Linked DNA regions of Schizosaccharomyces pombe. The protein of the gene in region 3 interacts with the protein of the main gene of each other region in a pairwise test. Each region holds a gene or a part of one and is shown on either strand. Other genes may lie near its edges.

Region 1 (6,124 bases), on a different chromosome or scaffold from region 3:
TGTTCTGCGCTTAAGGTCCTTCCTTTAACAATGGGATACCCTTGAAATACGTTAATAAAATATAAAATAAGAAATTAAATAATTTACCTGCATGATTTGAAAGCTCTACAGTTGGAATTGCATCTACGTCCCAACCTAAAAGCTGAAGTGGAAATGTAGCAGCACGATTTCCTACATATCCATGACAAACAGAAGACTATAATGTTGTTAGTTTCAAAGAAAATTATATTTTTTCAACCTGAATCGCTAAAATACGCTTTGTTGTATTCATCCTATATGGTATTGGGTTATCCTCAAGGCGTAGAACTGGATAAGCATGCTTTTGTATAATAGATGATAGCGATATATGATATTGAGCGTTGTCGAAAAACGAATAGTTACCTGAGTTTTAAACAAATATAAACAGACTTATTCTTTTAAGAAGAGATAAATTGACTACTGTTATTTTCTGAATGCTGCCTAAAACATATATTGGAATAACTTACTAAATACTCTTCAAATTAAGGAAAAGCATAAGCTACAATTTCTACCCCTACAAGTAACGATTTTCCTTTTTTTTTACTTCCTCAAAACGGTCTTCTCGAACAGTATGTTCTCAAAAGTTTTCCGACTTTTTATCTCATAAAAAAGAAATTCAATGTTTCTCATGCATGACCTTTAAATTTCTCTTTGAAAAATCATGTGAAGCTTACTTAAAGAGATGTTTCAAATTTCTCTTTATGAAACGAGTATTTATCGGATTTATTGGATATCCACTTATGAAACACTACAGCAGAGCAAAACTTTCAAATAATTGTTTTATTATTTTAAAAGCTATTCCAGAAAAATTTGTTTAATTTAAGGCGTAAATTTCGCGCTAATTTTCCTAGAAATGACTGAAAGGTCGATTTTGTTTACGTCTTTTTGCATCATCCTTTCAAAGCTAAGAAGTTATCGCAAACTATTTCTCCATTATATTGGATTTATTTTATTTTGGAACATACAAACATGAAATTGAATGTGAAGAAATATGTATGTAGCTTCGTCTTTTAAGGGAATTTAATAAAAAGGATAATCAACTTAATTTTTTGCGACAAAACTAATTATGAAGCACATTCTTTTGAATCAATTTATCCAAAAAAGTAATAAATTCAACAGTGACAAGATGTAAGCATTATACGGAATACAACGACTCGAAATACATGGAATTGTATAACTTAATCACTCATTTAAACTTTTACAGAAATCTTCGGCTGAAATATACGGGGTAAAATAGGGCTTTTAATTGTAAAGCTTAGAGCCTGAATAAGTATGCTTTCCTTTATTTTAACATTCCTCAATTTGTTTTCAAGTACTTCACATACCTAGGAAGAATGCTAAATAAGGTACAGTGGGAAAACAACGTTGGTTGATTGTTAGTTTGACTTGCTAAGCTCGTAACTTTGAGGATATGGGCTACAATTTACGTAGAAAGGTAATTTATTAAGCCTAAGGATGGTTGCTTGCTCATTAAAATTGTCCCAATCCTACATATACGCTTTAAACTATATGAACCTCATCTTTTGTCGAAAAAGAAAGTACAAATCCTTCCTCATAAGAAATGTTCGGCAATCTCTTCTTTTTCAACTTTCAGCCTAAAATCGATATGACTACAGAATTTGAAATAGGGAATTGCATTTCTTACTAGTACTATTTAAATGTGTAAAGCTTTCTGGATTACCATCAGACCCTCATTTAAAAATGATATTTATATTATATGCTGATTCTTTAGGAAACAGCAAATGGACGACTTTCTGAATGTGATTTTTTTAACCATCATGTAAATCTAAAGTAGACTGTTGCTAATAACAGTTTCGTACGAAGAACAGAACTTTTTTAAAAATCTAATCTAAATTTGTCATAAATCTTTCGGAAAACCTTTTGAAGCATAAAAATCCCAGTTGAGTTAATGTAGTAACAATCATGTGTATGTACTCATACCTAACCATCACATTCCAGTAATCCACCTAACATCTTAACAACTCTCCAGCACACATACACACACATCATTATTTCAAGTCATTTCACACTTAAATTCACTTACAAACATCTAGAATAATTTTTGATTGAATCGTATTTTATTCATCTGAAAACCGACTGAGATTTAGTATTGTTTCCTTCGTATTGCATTTTTTACATTCGTCTTCTTTGGAAGTGGCGTACTAAGCCTTTTATTTGATTCCATCATACTTGTGAAGTATCCTTAAGCATCCCATGTCTGATTCTGTGAATTTGGACGAACCTTCAACTAATAGTACTCACTTTCTACAATGTTTAGTTACAGAACCTAGAAAGGAGCTACAGGGATCTCGAGACACTCATGTATCTTATCTAATCATCACTAAGGTAAGTCTTATTTTTGAAAAGTAACTGATGAATTATTTTTTGGAAATGTGCTTACTCTATGTTACTAGACCAATCTTTCGATTTTCACACGTGCGGAATGCAAGGTTCGTCGTCGTTTTTCTGATTTTGTGAAGCTTCAAGAAATATTATCACGAATGAATGAGGATTGTGTAGTCCCTCCTCTTCCCGCTAAACATAAACTTGGTATGCGTGCAATTAAATAGAAACTCGTTAGTGCAGTGATTCCGATGTCTTTGACTTTTCAATGATTCGTCACTAACACTTTTTGTAGAATACATCAAAGGAGGTCGGTTTTCAGATAATTTCATAAATCGAAGAGCCAAGCTGTTGAATCGTTATATTACACGTTGTGCTCTTCATCCTGTGCTGCACCAATCGCCTCATTTCATTGCATTTTTAGAAAATCCAAATTGGAATAATTATGTTCGATTCTTTATTCAGCCGAAATTGAATAACACATCGAAGTTGGACGAAATCTCGGATTCCTTGCTAAATGCGTTTTCCAAGCTGAAGGAAGAACCCACTGAGTTTGATATCCAACGCGACCATGTGCAACAGTTTATGTTTGGAATATCTAATTTGGAAGGATCCATTCAAAAGCTTTTACGTTTAGAGAAGGCTCTAGAATCTGATTATGAGGATGTTTCGATTCAGTTTGATCGATTGGCATCCTTGGATCAAGCTTTAGATGTGCCTATTGAATCCATTCAGAATGCATTGCAACAAACTGGCACAGAGTATGCTAATCTTACAGAAAAATTAACTTTATTGTTGGATACAATTAAAGACGTTGAATCTTACGCTCATTCCTTGAAAGAACTCTTGAAGCGCCGCGATCAAAAACAGCAGGATGTCGAGGCACTTCAAGAGTATTCTGCAAAGCTTTCTTTAGAGCGCGACAAAATATCTTCTGGCGGCTCTAATGGTTTCAGTTTATCCAAAACTCTGGACGACTTGCGTGGTATCGATCACAACGATACTAGATTAAAGCGCTTAGAACATGTACAATCGGAATTGCAGGCAGTTGAGCAAGCTATTCAAGAAGCATCTGCCGTTCATGACGCTTTCAACCAAAGGGTTCGAGAAGAATCTAAGCTTTTTGATTCCGTTCGTCAAAGCGAGATGCTTAGTGCTATTTCCGATTACGCTAATGTTCATGTAGAGTTTTTTACAAATATTCGCGACCTTTGGATACGTGTTAAGCAATAGGTTACTTTACTCAAGCCCCACAGCATATGTTGTTTTGATCATGTCTCGATTAATGAATCATTGACCTGCTTTTCTTTTTTAATTTCTAAATATTTATTAATGATAATGATTGTGCATGACTTCGCTGATTACTTTTTTTATCATCAACAATTTCATAATCGGGAAACTTTTTTTGTCTGTATTTGTTTGTAAGTTTATTATGATTATTATTAGAAAAGAAATAAAATAAAAAATGAATTGAATAAATTAGAGAAAAAACAAACAGTGGGGTATAAGAATCGTAAAAATGAAAAAACCGGTATTGCAAATAGTAAAAAATTAGAAACATATTAATGGTAATTCTTGCACGATAATAGCACTCAAACATCTTAATACCATCTACTATTGAATGAGGATCCGTACTTTTTCTTAACCTTCTTAAGTTCCTCCCTTATTTTCTTGCTATCAAAAAAAGCATTTGATTTTTTAGGAGACAAACTGCGGCCTTTTTGCATTAATGACTTTTCAATCAACTCCTTTTGCTTATTTTGACATTCTTCTGCTTCTATTTCATACAACAATTGAGATTGTCGTTCTCTCAAGGGTTCGGGAATAGGTTCTGAAACCAAATCCACTTCTTCATCGAGAACTTCAAATCCAACAGCAGCTAATAAAATTGGCATTGATTCTCTATAAGCCAAATGTCCCGAGACAAGATTAGTAACATCGATGTTTTCTATCCCCGGAATACAATCTATTTGACGCAAACCCGCAACTCGCCCAATGCCACCAGAAGTGGCTCGAAAAAGATAGCCAAGGATCCAATCATTCTTTTTGTAACCATTGACAAACCTTCCAGAAACGACAGATGCAGCTTTAAGCCAAGAAGTACGTTTAAAAATAACAGGGGTGCCGAACAAATATACATTTTCAATGATGCTAAACTCTTTTTTTTTCTCTAATTCTCGCAAACAATAGTAAATAACACGAGCCCCCAAAGAATAACCAACTAAGGTGACTGGGCGGACGCCAAGGGACCGATAACATAGCATATCGGCTAAAAGCTGACCGGTAGCCTTAGCACGGTCTAAAGAATTATTCCACGGATTGTCAATTAGATATCCTAGCTTCGTTAATATCAAGGGCCACTGTAAGGCACCCATTAGAGAAACTAAGACGGTGGATCCCAATACCTGTTGAAGAGACTGTGTAACCACTTCTGTTGCCAAAATGTTCATAGTCTGACCAGCAGAAGCAAGCATTTCGGGCTCCCAAAAAACAGAATAAATATCACCCACGATAGGATCAAGTGTAGCAAAAGAAAGACGGACATCATCTTCTTTACTTAACATCCAACCGGAAACGGTGACGATGACATTGGCTCGTCTCTGTGCATGTAGCGGTCTAAATTCAAAAGTTTTAACATCGGCTTTTCGATGAGCCATGCCAGTTGTACCAATATGAGCTCCTGAAATTGCACCGCCAGCAGTAATTAAAGCAGCACTACCACCCCCGGCTAAAAAACCAGACGTAGCAACTCCAGATAAGCCAACAGTGGTGAAAGCAGCTCCAATGCCTGCACTAATAATAGGAGCCAGTAATCCAGAAGAGAGACCGATCACTAGGCCGCCTCCGATACCTGCTAGGCCCATTAGTATATACTTTTTACGCCTTGATACTTTACGCCGCAATTTCATGACCGCTTCAGTGTTTGCACTTGAGCCGGCTTCTAATTCGCCGGTATCGTCAATCTGAATTGTTTCAACAATATGTTTTTCAAACTTTGCAACATCAAACTCATTAATGTCAAGAACCTCGCCAACAGCCATAAGTAGAGAACGTGACCGACAATCGTAAAGCGATTTAGAAATGAGGACCAGAAAAAGATCACACAACACAGTCCAACGAACATCAATTTGTACCGGTTTCTCTTTCCCTAGGCTACTTAGACTATCGCTGGACTCAACTTCGTCAACAAGCACTGCATCAAGGCTACTGACTGTTTGAGCTCTATGGGCAGAAACTAAAATCTTGGACAAGTCATCTATTTGGACTGAATGTTTGTGAAGATTTTCTATCATCTTCTGTTCCTCTACTGTGACGCCGAGATGTTCATATATGCATGAAGTGGTTTTGTCAGCCCACATAATGGTGTCTTCTAATGCGGCCTTACATTCACCTCGATACCATGGCAAAGTTGTAAAACATGCAATTTTATCAACCATTTTTAAAATTAAAAGCCGACATACGCCAGCGTATGCCATTTTCTCGGTTTCAGAGAGTATGTTGCCAGTGATTTCCAATTGACTATCCATGCTAATTTCTTCGTTGCCATGATCAGCAATGTCTAATAATTTAATGGCTTCACTGTCTAACTGATGCTTTTGATCGTCGTCTTCATCACGAAAAACTCGGGTGTAGCGAGGTTCAAGCTCACTCTCTTCAACTTTTTCAGTTTCTTTCTTTTCTTCTATTATTTCATTATCATCATCGATATCATTGATTAAATGGGTTGGTTCCAACGATATAACTTCCATTGGTTGCCAATTGC
Region 2 (5,920 bases), on a different chromosome or scaffold from region 3:
TCTACAAGGGCTTCATCGGCCCATTCCTCTAATGTAACGCCGTCAGCCTCCGAAACCTGAGGGGGTTCGTATATAGCTTCAATCACTCCCTTAATTCCTAAAGGAACGTTATTGTATTGTTCGAAATGTCCATACGTATAACCAATCCTTTGAAAACCGGATTGACGCCATTTATTGAGAAACGAATCGACAATGCCGGGAGAAGCAAATTCAATATGATCAATAACACGAAATGGTTGGAGATTGAGCATTACAGTTGATGGTTGGCATTTGGTACAAATCCCAGCGGGCCAAGGAGGATGACCAGAAGGACACTTTTCTTTCACTGTAAAACTAGGCTCCTCAAGAGGAGGAATAAACGATTGAGAGCTAGCATATTTATTCACATTAGAGTTTATTTTTCTCAAATAAGCATGAAAGGAAAGGTGCTTGATTTTATTTTCTTGTCGATAGGATTCATCATACGGTTCTAAAGGCGAGCAATAGTCGCACATTCCTTTAGGGCCGTGCCGACATAAAGAGGTCATGGAACGACGTATCAAGCCATCTTCTTTTTCTAAAGAATCATCAATGGGATCTTGAATGACAGGCATAGAAGGTTTTTTTTCTGAAACATCAGGTGTGGAAACCTGCTTTGGGGCACCAGTTACAGTGAGAGCAGGTTCATTGTTTGATGAAGCAATATCACTATTTGGTGTACCAAGTCTTAAGTAAAGCATTTGACCGTGAGTCAATCCAGCATCTTGAAGAGTTTGATCATTCAGGTTGGAAAAAATGACACCCTGGTCAGATTCATTCTGGCAAAGAGAAACATTTTCGGGAGAGTAGTCGTTTTTAAGTATATCAGACAAAATCTGATTTGTTAGATAACCATTCGTTTTGAAATATTTCAATAATTTTGCAGGAAATTACGTACCTTTGCAGACAGCATAGCCAAAGTATCAGTTGGCTGAAATTCTGCACGGGCCATCCCCCGTTTGCTGCGAAAGCGCAAAATCTTTAAACTGTTAGTAACAATATTTAAAACGATTGCTTTGCATACCATTTCGAAGCAAGAGTAAAGGTGAAGGATGAGCAAACTAAGCTTACGACTATGTAAGCTATTAAAATAGGTGAAGTGCAGCTTCGTTACATTTTTGAAAAATTCGTTAATAACAATAACGATTGAACAGACGCCGTAGTGTATATCTATATATGTATTACTTTAGGTCGTAATTCTCAAATAACGTAACAAAATTTTCAAAGAACTATCACAGGTATAACGAAAAATACACAATATGTCGGTTTAAAGTTGAAATATAGTTTTTAAATATCTAGTGTTGGTATGATTTAAATCCGACTAATAATTTAGATAATTGAATCTGCTAGAATTTACATTTGGTCAATTCCACTTGCTGAGTAGATGGTATTAATTTTCGGAATTGCGCACAGCTTGAAAATATGCATCCAATAGAAAGCATATCTATTGCATATTTTCAAAGAAATTTATTTTAAGCTAATTTAATTCGAATCAAAGCTGCATTTATTTTTTTTACAGGAAAAATGTAACTATGTTAAAGCTTGAAGCTCAATAATTTTATGCATTTCTGTTTGTTTATCATGGCTCACGATTGTAAGCATTACGATATGAAAAGTTGTAGATTTCAATTCTCTCAATTGATAATTGTTTATTAAATTCCTTTTCCTTAACAAGTTTATCAATATTGCTACCGTTTTGCGTGATTCTTCTCTAATATCTTTGCTAATTGAACGCTTGACATAGCTTGTGCTCCAATGGATCTTTACGTAGTCAGCACCAACTACAAAATTCTGTGGAAATAGCAATTGCAAAAATATCTGAAGAATTTTGTAGTTACATTCATTGTTATTTGTTTAAAAAAAATCTTAATTGCTTTGTAAAGAACTTCGAATCAGCTGTATTATCTTGTACTTTAAAAATATTGGGTCGCAAGATTACCAATCTCTTTCATGACATGTAAGCAATGCTGAAATGTACAATTAAAAATGAGCAAATCGAAACTTTAAGAAGCGGAGATACATTCGTCTCTTATGAAATTGAGACTGAATCGGATCTGCCAGTTTTTGAAGATAAAAAGTTCTCTGTTCGTCGGAGATATAAGGATTTTGAGATGCTTCATAATATTTTGAGCCATGATTATAATGGTTATGCAATCCCTCCGCTACCGAGAAAATATACTGTTAGTTCTTTCTCTGGTGGTTCATTATCTCCCATATTCATTGCTCGTCGAATGCAATCCCTCCAAACGTTTCTGGATCGATGCTCCACACACCCTGTAATTTCCAATTCTATGCATATGTATCAATTTTTGGAAAATAACTCTTGGAAATCTTATTATCATAACGCGTGGATGCAATCCGAAAACACTAAGTCCAAGGGCAATAACGTATCCGGAGGAATTGAATCATCAATTCAAAACTTAGACCCGTATGCTCAAAGCTTGTATGAAACAGCAAAACAGCTTCTCCAAAATGCGGATACGGATCTCTCAAAGTTGGAGAAAACCTGTGTTCAATACATGAATAGTGTTCAAAATTTTCCTACTGATATTCCTGTCCCTTCTAATTTAAGCATCAGTAACCTCGATGTTGTCTCTGTAGAATTTAAAAGACTAAAGAGAAACAGCATTTTTTTAATAAACTCTTTTCATTCTAAGGTAATTACATCTATTCAAGATTTGGAAGATTACATGGTGGTTTTTAAGAGTTTGATCAAATCTCGTGAACAAAAGGTGAAGCAATTTGAACATTTCCAACAAATCGTTCAATCTAACTCTAATAACCCTGATCAATCATCACGATCTGACCCAAACTTTGTAGAAGCCACTCCCGTTGTGCAGCAGACACCTGAGCTTAAACCGTCGCCCAACACTACTATACGTACCTCGAGTTTATTCAGTATTCCAAAATTTTTTAAAAAAAAGCGGTACTCATTAGGTCAAGACGATGCTAATCCCATGGAGTTGCTTCAATTATCGTTTCAAGAATTATGCATTTTCAACGAAAAACTTGAGCAAGAGTTAAATTTTCTACGCGAACGTATCGATGTTGAAATGCGTAAGACATTACAAATGGTTTGCGATTGTCATGTGGAATATTTTTCTGGTATTCTTGAGCAGCATGCCGTGAAGGAATAATAGTTCCTCGTTATTAACCTACTACTGTATAGAGGCTTTTGAGTTTTTAAGTAAGTGTTTTATAACTTGGCGTATGATGCTTTAACGTTTGTTTTACAATGTGTGATGTTTACGATATTTTTTATGCGACTTGAACTAATATTAATGAAAATTTACGAATCTGAGATTAATTTATTACTTTTTTATGCAGTCGAAAACATGACTTATTAATTTTCGTTAAATTTGCTCATGTTCTCAAATTAAAGTACAAGGAATGCAAAAATGTAATGACATTTCTATAATTCTTAGACAACTTTAAACTTCCCAACGTGGAATTGTTTCTTTCTTTGCTAAAGGAATGGATGATGTCTCCTTCGTACTTACTTCTTTCTGTTGTGCATAGATTTTATTTTGTTCTGAGCTTTAAAAAAATATAGCTCAGTAAAGAGGGATTATCAACAGTATAGGTTTTGTACTAACAATAAAATCTTCTGTGCCTTTTTTTAAGTATATGCATTTCCCTGTTCTGCTTTAATTTTATAAGATTATAGTCATCTCCGTCCGAAGGATGACAGTGATTTATATCTCAAACTATGCTTCTCAAACATGATTGATCTATATAATAATACAAGTAATTTCAATTGAGTGGTTTGAATTTTGCATTTTTGATGAGGACTTCACACACTACAATACTTTTTAGAAATAACTGATGGGTTCATTAAAGTTCTTCAATTCTCATTATTCGGTAGAAGTTGAAGATCTGTAAAATTTTTATAAGACTATAAAATGATGTCTATTTAAACAAATATTATCAGAGATTTACCATAACTGACATTAATAGGATAAAGATTATAAGTTAGCAGATATTCACTATGACTATTTGCCCAATAACATGTTTTGTTGAGATGTCTTGGTATTTCAAGTTAAATATACTGATGAAAATTGTTTTAGAAATATTCAATAATAAAGAAATTGTTATTATTGTAACATGAATTTAAACCATCACCTATCAGTACAAACGCAGCCCAACGCTTTACAAAGGGCTGCACGCTAACACTATGCTGGGAGTTTATAAAGTCATCATATATAATCATATCTTCGTCAGATGGGTTGGTAATCTTTGCAAGATAAATTTCCTTTCCCCTTCATGCAAATTCCTTAGAATTCACCTCACTCTGGTCAAAGAATATATTTTTTTGGATGCATAGTCTTTTCAAGCAGCTAGTTTTTTTCCTGGTAATGACGCTAACTGCAGCTGACAAGGCTGCATTTGATGCGGAATCCATGCTAGAAGCTCCTAGAAGGTCAGCAGTAGTTAGCAATCCTTTAGGGAATCTTGGAATATTTATAGAATCGAATTATTCCTTTGCTGATCACAAATATAACTCTGGAATTTACCTTTTGAATGAAAGCACTAGAAACCATCAAGAGCTTTTAGTACACGGCAAATCAAACAAAGCGCTCACATGGATTACTGATTCAGCTTTTTTATATGCAAGAGAAGATAATTCTAGCTCATCGAGTATCCTTCTTTTTGACGTTAACAATCGATCAGAGCGTATCATATATAATCATAACTCTTCAATATCTGATATAAGGATCGGAGAAAAGAACAACCACTATAGAATCGTTTTTAGTTCAGTGGATAATTCGTTAGTTAAGGGACCTTCAAATGTTCACGTATACGATCACTTGTTTGTTCGACACTGGGATAGATGGAACACAGGATCTAGGAATACCCTTTATTTTATAGAGCTAGATAAAAAAACGGAAAACTCAAATTATTTTGAAATTTCCTCAGAAAAAGCTATTGATTTGTTGAAGGAAACTGGCTTGGAATCTCCTGTCGAACCCTTCGGAGGTCTTTCTGACTTTGATTCTAACTACGACAAACTTGTCTTTGTAGCAAAAGACCCGAAATTAAATCCGGCAACACAAACAAAGACAGTTGTTTACGAGATTAATCTGAACACTCGGAATCTGAAGTCATTGAGCACTGCGAAGGGTGCATGCTCTTCACCAAGACTAGCCAAAGATGGAAATCATATTGCATGGCTTGAAATGCAAACACCACAGTACGAAAGCGATCAAAATCAAATAATGGTATATGAGTCCGAGTCAGGCGCTAAAAAGCACATTGCTCGTCATTGGGACCGATCGCCTTCCAGCATTGAATGGGGGGTTTTCAAAGGAGGCGAACCAGGTCTTTTTGCTATTGCTGAGAATTATGGGAAGCAAATTTTGTTTTTTGTTTCTATATTTCACCACCAAGTTATCCCAATGACAGAAGAACACTCTGTTTCTTCTATTAGTGTCCCTAAATCTTCTTCCTTATGGCTTACGAAGTCATCTTTAATCAATCCCCCTTATTACGCAAAGATTAACGTTGAAACGTTAAACGAAAGTGTTTTACTCGAGAACAATGTCGGATTATCGCCAACTTCTTATGAAGAAATTTGGTTTCCTGGCACTCATGGTCACAGAATTCATGCATGGATTGTAAAGCCCGAAAGTTTTGATAAATCTAAAAAATATCCTGTAGCAGTGCTTATACACGGGGGACCTCAAGGTTCTTGGACAGATAGTTGGTCAACGCGCTGGAATCCTGCAGTTTTTGCTAATGCTGGTTTTATTGTATTTGCTCTTGATCCTACTGGATCTACAGGTTATGGACAACGTTTTACCGATTCCATTGCTCTTGATTGGGGTGGTAAGCCATATAAAGATATTGAACTTGGTGTTGAGTACATAAAAAATCATCTTTCCTATGCTGATTCTGAAAAAAT
Region 3 (8,489 bases):
TAGAGGTGGATTTTGAATTTGCAAGCAAACTCCATGGCATGATGAGCAAGTTTGTTGGATCTTCTGTAGCTTCTGAAATCATTCAAGGATTCGTCCAACAGGCTAAAATAAAGCATAAGCTAGAATCAGAAAATGAGAAATAATTACAATGATCCTGCATACAAAGGGGCTATGCCGCTATTCTTTCCATCTCAGCGTTTTTCCATCGTCTCTCTTTCAACCAAAGAAGGATATATTTTTATAAAAGGTTTCTTTTAGGAAATCATGGCTTCAGTAAGCTAAATTTTGGATCCTTCTCTTCACCTTATGTATTTATTTTATTTCATTTTTTTGGATACTCGCCAATATCATGGTATAGTTTGCTTTACTGCAATTTTTTTGATGCACAACAAAAAACTTGGTAAATTATTTCTCTACTATTAAATCAAGAGCTTAGGAGGAATTCTCATTTCTTAAAGAAACTTTACTTTGACGAAACTGTATTTTTTTTTTTGTTTTAACAATATGTCTTGAATATGCCTTCCTTTTCTTGAGTCACTGATAACCAAATATATATAATTATAGGGGTGTCTCTCTTTCTATTTAGTGCTGAAATATTGCGGATGAGCTTTGCCTCTAAAGTTGATAACCAGAGATCAGGAGTCCTTGAAGGTCAACTGTTTACAAAATTATCCTTCCTTGCTTTTGAATAGAAGGTGAAATTGGTTATGGAATGCTTCATGAAGATTTGCATTCAAAATGCATCCAGAACAATCACAAGTGTTATTTAAAAGTAAAGAATCCCTGAAGGAAAGAAAAAGTGATCTATGATGATCGTTGTTAAAAAGTCTATCAAATTTGGTCTACTGAGATATATCTAGGGAAAGCAAAATCATTTAAGTAAGACAATTCATGAAATACCCGGAGCACCTTTATAGTCGACTTTTCTTTCGATGATAAACATGACATGATTTCCATTATAGCTACAGAAACGAATTTTATGAAAAACAATCTTGTGTTTACCAACATTTTAATATCGTGCTCTATTAAACTGTGCAATATGCAAATACGGTGTTTGCCGATTTGCATTAACGGGAAGTATTTCTCCAGTAAATAAATGAAGCAAAGTGTTTTTATGTAAAATCCTTTTATCGCTTTTAACTTATAAGGATTTACTTAGTATATAAAGTTGCTGAATGGAGCCTTAAAAGTTCTAGCTGTTTTTTCGTGAAATAAACTATAGCATCACCATTCCATAGGTCCATTAGAAGTTGTGGAAATTATCCATGAGCATTTTTATATAGTGAAATTAGAATAATTTTTATCATTGAAAATAAATTATTAATTTAGTTCATTTCGAGGATGAAAACAAGTTTTATTATAATATACCTCTTATTTATACCGCATTGTTTACATCGCACGATATAACCAAACGAATCCAGTTAACGATAGCTACAACAGCCATCGGTATTAAACTATAGTGATTTGATAAGATGTTTCGAAATATATACTGGATAATATAATCACTGTCCGCTATCATAACCTTAAAAAGAAATCTCCTCTACAACTGCATTACTTGTTTACTGTGATAGTACTAAGAAATTCTCCACGTAAACCAAAATCTATTTTTTTTTCGAAATCTCGTATTTTATATACATAGGTTTCCCCTGTCATTTTAAAGTTCTGATTGTTTCTTTGACCTTATGGAAACCCATTTTACAATGCATTCAGTATAACGCTATCTAATCCATTCTCATATACAGTATAACGTAGTTATAAGTATATTGATTTGCGATCTCTATCATATTACAACGAAATACAATCCAGTCTGCAAAGCCATGACTTATATGACGAACTAGCTACATTTCTTTCTCCATTAAATCGATTAAAGAAGTATGGCACAAGACGATTCTTACGAAGAGAAACCTGAAGTTATATCCAGCGACTCGGGAGGAAGTGGTTATTCAACTGAAATCCAGATCGTCGGTACAGTAACTTCCTCGGACGGTTCGTATGTTGAGTATGAAATTGTACACCAGGTATGTGGCTTGAGATCCTTGGTATCTATGAGTTTAGCTGCTAATTTTTATACTGTAGAAGCGTTCCGTTTGGCGGAGATATTCGGATTTTGAGTCCTTGGTTAAGTTGATGCGTCGGCAGTATCCCGCTGCAATTGTTCCTCCTATACCGGGAAAACAATCACTTTGTAAGTTTTCCAATATATTTAGATATAATATCTTTCATCGCGTTTTTTCATTTTCTTTTCAAACGTTTATTAACATGGGCTGTGTGCAATTCATTGTACACACATGCTCCGCTGTTTAGTAAGTTATGCCAAACATCCACGAAAAGCTAAAAGTGATGCTGAATTCTTAAATTTTCGCTCCAGGATGCTAGAATTGTTTCTTCGTCAGTGTCTTTTGCATCCATGCATTCGTTCCAATCCTATTTTCGATAAGTTTATTCATAGCACTGTTTCTTGGCACGTGACTTTATCATCTTTAGATTTACCAAAGGATTCAAATACTGATCCACTCCGCCTTCCTCCTATTGCTACTGAGCATGACCCATTCGCTCATTTGCGCTCTTCCATGCCACTTGTAATGGCCAACTCATTAAGTCCCCCTTCGTCTCGCGCATTAAAGCCAATCCATTCCTTATCTAATCCTTCAACTGCTTCGAGTTTAGAACCTTCTTCTCCTTTGGGCTCTGAGGATGAATGTCATCCCCCAACAAGCGATATGCAACCTACGCATGAATTGAATGAAAGTCCTTCTACCCCAACGGCACCAGACTTTCCACATTACAATAGCTCACCTTCGGAGTTATCTCCCACACAGCGTCGTTCCAGCATTTCTAATGGTAAAGACGCACCCTCTCCAGTACTCAAAGATTTGACTTCCTATACTCAAGAAGTGATTGTTTGTCGGAAATTCCTTCATCATAGTCTGAGTCCTTCCATACATTCAACTTTATCTAGTATTTCTAAAATGGAGTCTTGCCTTTCAAAGTTAGGATCGGCATTTCACTCTTTGACTGCTCTCAATGAAATACAATTAGCAAATCATTTGCAAGTGATTGCTAATGCCTTTGAATTCAGCGGAATGTACGCCAAGGAATTCGAACAAGAATTTAATTCCTCCGTCTATGAAAAAATGGTTCAGTCTATGCAGCTGGCGAAGTGTGCCGCAGATGCTCTTAAGTATAAGCAATTGAAGATACAACAGCGAGATTTTCTTCAAGACCAGCTCATCCACTCTAACACAATGTCTGCTACCGACTCTATGGTAGCTGCTTCACCCACGATACACCCGGCGACCAGATTGAATACTATTCAACGAGCAGTTGTCTCCCAAGCCAAAAAGGGTTACACAATTTTTGGTCGCTTACAAAACGTTTTACATGACTTTGTAGAAGGTGAAACCTCCATTAGCAAAGAAAGTCTCCAGCAGCATAAGAATACCATAGAGAATCAACTAGCGGCTGCAAATTGGGATTGTCAAAAAATTGACGAATTCATGGATGCAGAGCTTAAATTCTACAAAGAATGTCAGACGTCGCAGTGGGAAGAAATAATTAAATCTGTTCATGAATGTATCTACAAATGGGCACAAACAAATTTACAACGATGGTTGCGAACTCGTGAAGAACTCGAAAATTTATCGAAGGACATATAAGTACGTTGGGTAGGTTTGCTTATAATTGCATTCCGAGTCTTACATACTTTGTATTTTATTTTAATTTCTGCATACATCCTTTTTTATGTTTCTTTTTTACGATTTTGTTAATGACTAATAATACCACATGACAAGCCTTAACTATGAAAGTCATATTTCCCTTGGAAGATCTATCGCTTGGATAAATTTTTAAGGTCGAGTACATTTTATTAATGAAAAATTTATTTAATGCTATTATAGATTTAGAAATATTAATAATACTAAAGCATACAATGAAAGCTGTTCTTCTTTGTGAATATTCATTGTTCCTCCTCTTACCTTTTTATCAATATGTACCGACAAATCGTTTAAATCCTTTCATTTTTCTCTCTACCCTTTTTCTCTTTTTTTGTTAGTTAAAGTGTGCTCGAATAGAGCCATTTTACGAATTACTTGAATAAACAATTACTTAACAAGAACTTTAACCTTCTTTCCATATTGATCACGTACAAAAATACAATGTAATAAAAAGCTGTGGGATAAAAATGATACAAAAAAGTGATATTTATGTCAAAATATGAATGTACTGTTCAAATAAAAGGATTCCAACAAAACAAAATGTAAGAACCCGTATGTTTGTTCAGTAGTTTTATTCCTTCCCTTTGCGAAAAGGAGGTAGGATCAAGGATTCAGAGATATTACAAATGCGAGGAAAAAGAAACGCAGTCAATTCTTTTTGACAGAAGGGTGTTGATAGAATTGAATTTTTAGGAAAATCAAACGACATAAATGAGATGAATAAAACCAAAAGACATAAATCCATTGTCGGATTTACAAATTAGGGAAAAAAGGGTCCGCACAAGAGTGAGAGAAAATGAGTGTCATAAAAGGAACACCTAACTCACATTATCGTACAAATTTTATAACCAAAAGTTACAAAAGAATTTTTTAATTAAGTCGCTTAGTGAAAGAACGCTTTGCAAGGGTCCAAATGCCAGCTGCAGTGGCTACAAGCGAACTACTAATAGCCATAGCACGAAGTCCACGAGTAGATTTGTAAAGAGCACCTGTCAATGCACCAGCTGCAACACTATTTTCCCATCCATGCTTTTGGCGCTTGTAGCCTATTAAAGAATTGATTCCATTATACACGAGGGCAAGCACACCCAAGGAATTACCAACGAAAGGACCACGTCGTGTAACACCGTTCAAAATACCATTAAGGCGCAACCGTGTGGAAGTAATATCTTTAGTTTTCTTCATGCCTTCATTGAGACCCCAGAGTCCACCAATCGCCAATCCACTTAAATAAGAAGTTCCAGTACCGTAACAAAGATCATCTTGCCATCCGCGAGATGGGATAGCCATGCTATCGCCTGGAAGAGTAGAAAGAGCATCTTCCTCAATCAATAAGTAATCCAGAGGTTTATCTAAATCAGCGAGGGGATGTAACTTGGCGGGATCGAATTCAGAACCCGATAAAATATCTGAGGCTGTAGCCTCGGTAGGGACCTGCAATTCAGAAGAATCAATCTTTGAGGTTGGTTCCTCTTCTTTATTTCTTGTAAACAACCAAGACATATCTTAAAAAGTTGATTTTTCGCAAAGGCGCGATGGTGGTTGTCTGCAGGTAGCGGTGGTTACAGGAACTGTGTATTAGCACCTAAATTAAAATAGTAGAAAAAAATTGTTGAGACGTAAAAAGTGTCGCAATTATCATGAATTTACATTTATATATAAAAAAAAAGACTTAATGAATAAATCCTCGATCGTTAAATAACGCCCGAACTTATTTACTCGATCACCGCTTAAAATTCTAGACAAGTTGGGCATAGGTCCATCGATAAAACAATAGAATAGAAGAAACTATAAAACTTTTTTTTATGAGAGAACAAACAACGAAAATACAAAAAATATAACACTAAGTATTATCAATTATACAGTTACGCAAAGCAAGCATAAGACCGTTGTGAATTAAATTTACGTCCAGACAAATCAAAGGTCTCTATTAATATTAATATGCCATTCACATTAAGAGCCAAACCAAAGCGTGTTAAAGGAATACATTGAATCCGTAAATATCCTAAGTACGAACAGGTAAAGAAAGCTAAAGTAGATATCTAACAACAACAAAAAACGAAACTTGCTAGCTCAAAATCACAAAACCATATTCAGCACATTTAAACGACCCAAAACGAAAGAAGGCCTTTAAATTTCTTTGAGCGCAAAAGTAAGACTGGGAATTTAAGCAGTCTATTTGAGGACATACTTGCGAAAAGCAAAGTAAGCAACAACCATCACAAGGACAAAGAGCCACATAGCAGGCTTAACTGGTTGAGAAGAATCATATCCACTTCCACCAGCGGCAGCACCAGTTGTGGGAAGCTGAGGGCCATCTTCAGTCTAAAATATGTTAGAGTGTCGAAGCAAATTTTTACAAAAATTTTAACGAGCCTATGGCGAACGAAGAGAAAAAATAAATGACATACTCTGAGCAAGTTTCCAATGTAAAATTTTTCGAGCAACTCCTGAGCATCCTCAGAGTGACCAACATCCTCGAAAGGACCGCTAGCATCACGACCTAAAACAAGTTAATAATCACAGAAACGAACAAAAAAAAGCCCCTAGCGATGGTAGAGAAAGGCAGAAACTTTGTATAGCCAATCCAAAAGCCGTATGTGAAGAATCGAAGCGATATCGTCAATCAATCTTTCCAAAATTATGTATTTCAGTGTATTCAGAGTACTGGAAATACAAAACATCGAGTAGAGAGCGATCAATCTTGGAACATATAGACTGTACTTAACAATTCACCTTCAATGACAATGTCGCATTAAACATCGTATTTATTCAGGATATCGCATCTATTTTTGTACGTTCCTACGGCAAAGATTCGTCCTGAATCTTTCAAATTAAAGAACATGTGTATATGCGACACCTAAACTCTCGTGAAATTCAAAGTTTTGTAACGCTAGTTGTCTGAAACTTCGATTTCTACGACTCCACACAATCGCGACCAATTTTTATGCATTACAACCAATCTTCCTCAAGACCTCCATTATCGCGTACCCCTAAAAATTTACTTACCGGCCAAATCAACAAGAACCTCTTCACCACCAGGGTGAGCGTCAAGGAACTTGGAAATATCATACACCTTGTCTTTTACAACAATGTACAAATCATCACGAGTGTTATGTTTTAACACTTCTTCAACAGTAATTGTCTTCTCTGCCATGATCAAGTTCTGCTTATTCTTCCTTAAAGGTGGTATTTAACGGTTATAACCCAGGAGCTAATTACTCTCGAGATGTTGGTTGCAAATGCCCTATCGCGATTTATCTAGCAGGTGGGAAGTAGAAATGAGCCGATTCTTACTGGCAGGTGGTCACGTGGATTCGAGTTGGAAGGTACACCCAAGGATATGAACTTACCCAAAACCTATATCATTCTTCAGTTAACCAACTCCACCATTTTGGAGGTGTAGTGTTTATATTTGAATGGCAATATAATATTTAAATCAATTTAGGACGCTAATCAAGTTAATTTTTGTTCACATCTTTGCTGTTTCGTTGGAGCCGTAAACTACTTTGTGACAAACCATCAACTACTCAGAATTTGTCTATCACCCAAAAACTTAACAAAAAATTTTTATTTGCTCTTTTTGATCCAACCTTCTTCCTCTCCTTTTGATTTTATACGAAAAATATGCTGGGTGCATTTAACTCGACTTTGGCTCGCTTTGGCGGTCTTGTTCATAAAGTACCTTGGAGATTATCCCAGCGAAGAAAATATCGTCACCGTCAACGACTTCGTGCCGTCGATGAGGTGGTAGATGTTTTGCGCACGGCGTTGCAAGAGAAAAATCAATCGTGCAAACGAATTGAAAGTTTCGTTGCTAACCATCAGCCTGAATCCCAAATGTCACCAAAGGATAAATACACTATGTTTACCAGGAAGACTCAAGGTGCCGGTCTCCAAGGCTTCCGCAAGGGTGTCCATAAATCACCAAAATGGACCCGTAGTACTAATCGTGTTAATCCCACTGGCTTTTAAAAACGTCTGGTTGCAAAAGTTTACTACTTTTTTTTTCATAATTTTAATGCTCTATGAATAATAAATGTAATGGATTATTTTAATAGCTTATTTTATTACTTTTTTATTGCAAAAACTCCCACCTCTTCCTCGTCTTCGTTCATATTCAATTTCCAGTTTCATACATATTCAAACAAACGACATTAGCCTTTAGTTAGAGTAAAGTTCATATCACCTCTATTATACGTCTCTTTAATTCTTTGCTCTGTAAAACAATACATAAGCAGACGATGTGACAATATCCTCCGGATCTATTTCACAAATAGCTGTATCATCAAACTTAAAGAATGTTTGGCTCGATGCATCTCTTGCATAGGCAGTATAATGACCATTACTCATAAACCCGTGATGATTGTCCACTGCATACAAATCGTAAAGCATCGATTTCTGTGACGATAGCCACTCATGATCTTTTATAAATGGACTCAAAAATTGCTTCAAATTGAGATCAAATACTGGATAAACTACTAAATCCCTTCGTTTACGTCTTCTCCGCAAATCTCCACCGTGGCCGCTGAATCGATTTAAATGAATGACTAGTATTTTTGGCAATCGCCAGATCTCCAGCCGTTTTGTTGCCGGTCGAAATGCCTTACACCCAGGACAATACCAGGAATCCTGTAAATCAAGCTGCTCTGGCTTGGAAAACTCCAGTAAACAATCTTCAAGGGTGATGGACTCCATATGGAACTGAATTTTTTCAAATATCCATTCGCAGTTATAAAATAACTTTTCATATTGTTGATCGTTCCATAGACACAT

Evidence for each region.
Region 1: the proteins of atg20 (region 3) and atg24 interact in a two-hybrid assay, tested with the Schizosaccharomyces pombe proteins (one study listed by BioGRID).
Region 2: the proteins of atg20 (region 3) and atg2402 interact in a two-hybrid assay, tested with the Schizosaccharomyces pombe proteins (2 studies listed by BioGRID).

The regions. Positions count from the first base shown.
Region 1 is NC_003424.3:2,752,536-2,758,659, forward strand, and holds atg24 (autophagy associated protein Atg24), read left to right. Parts: upstream 1-1,987; 5' UTR 1,988-2,232; coding exon 2,233-2,364; exon of another isoform or gene 2,365-2,432; coding exon 2,433-2,568; exon of another isoform or gene 2,569-2,656; coding exon 2,657-3,594; 3' UTR 3,595-3,845; downstream 3,846-6,124. Other genes in the region: SPOM_SPAC6F6.11C (pyridoxine-pyridoxal-pyridoxamine kinase), read right to left, coding at 1-40, 88-196, 239-271; SPOM_SPAC6F6.13C (uncharacterized protein), read right to left, coding at 3,963-6,124. UniProt on the Schizosaccharomyces pombe protein: Sorting nexin, involved in the separation or division of vacuoles throughout the entire life cycle of the cells.
Region 2 is NC_003423.3:2,153,291-2,159,210, forward strand, and holds atg2402 (autophagy associated protein), read left to right. Parts: upstream 1-1,787; 5' UTR 1,788-1,982; coding exon 1,983-3,155; 3' UTR 3,156-3,641; downstream 3,642-5,920. Other genes in the region: ubiquitin ligase complex subunit Npl4, read right to left, coding at 1-854, 917-997, 1,043-1,045; ppp16 (acylpeptide hydrolase), read left to right, coding at 4,335-5,920.
Region 3 is NC_003421.2:881,518-890,006, forward strand, and holds atg20 (sorting nexin Atg20), read left to right. Parts: upstream 1-1,854; 5' UTR 1,855-1,874; coding exon 1,875-2,018; intron 2,019-2,076; coding exon 2,077-2,185; intron 2,186-2,304; coding exon 2,305-3,656; 3' UTR 3,657-4,171; downstream 4,172-8,489. Other genes in the region: ubiquinone-binding protein Coq10, read left to right, coding at 1-143; TIM23 translocase complex subunit Tim23, read right to left, coding at 4,584-5,216; oca8 (cytochrome b5), read right to left, coding at 5,889-6,038, 6,125-6,216, 6,723-6,870; mrpl31 (mitochondrial 54S ribosomal protein mL60), read left to right, coding at 7,341-7,688; ubiquitin hydrolase Ubp1, read right to left, coding at 7,920-8,489. UniProt on the Schizosaccharomyces pombe protein: Required for cytoplasm to vacuole transport (Cvt), pexophagy and mitophagy. Also involved in endoplasmic reticulum-specific autophagic process and is essential for the survival of cells subjected to severe ER stress.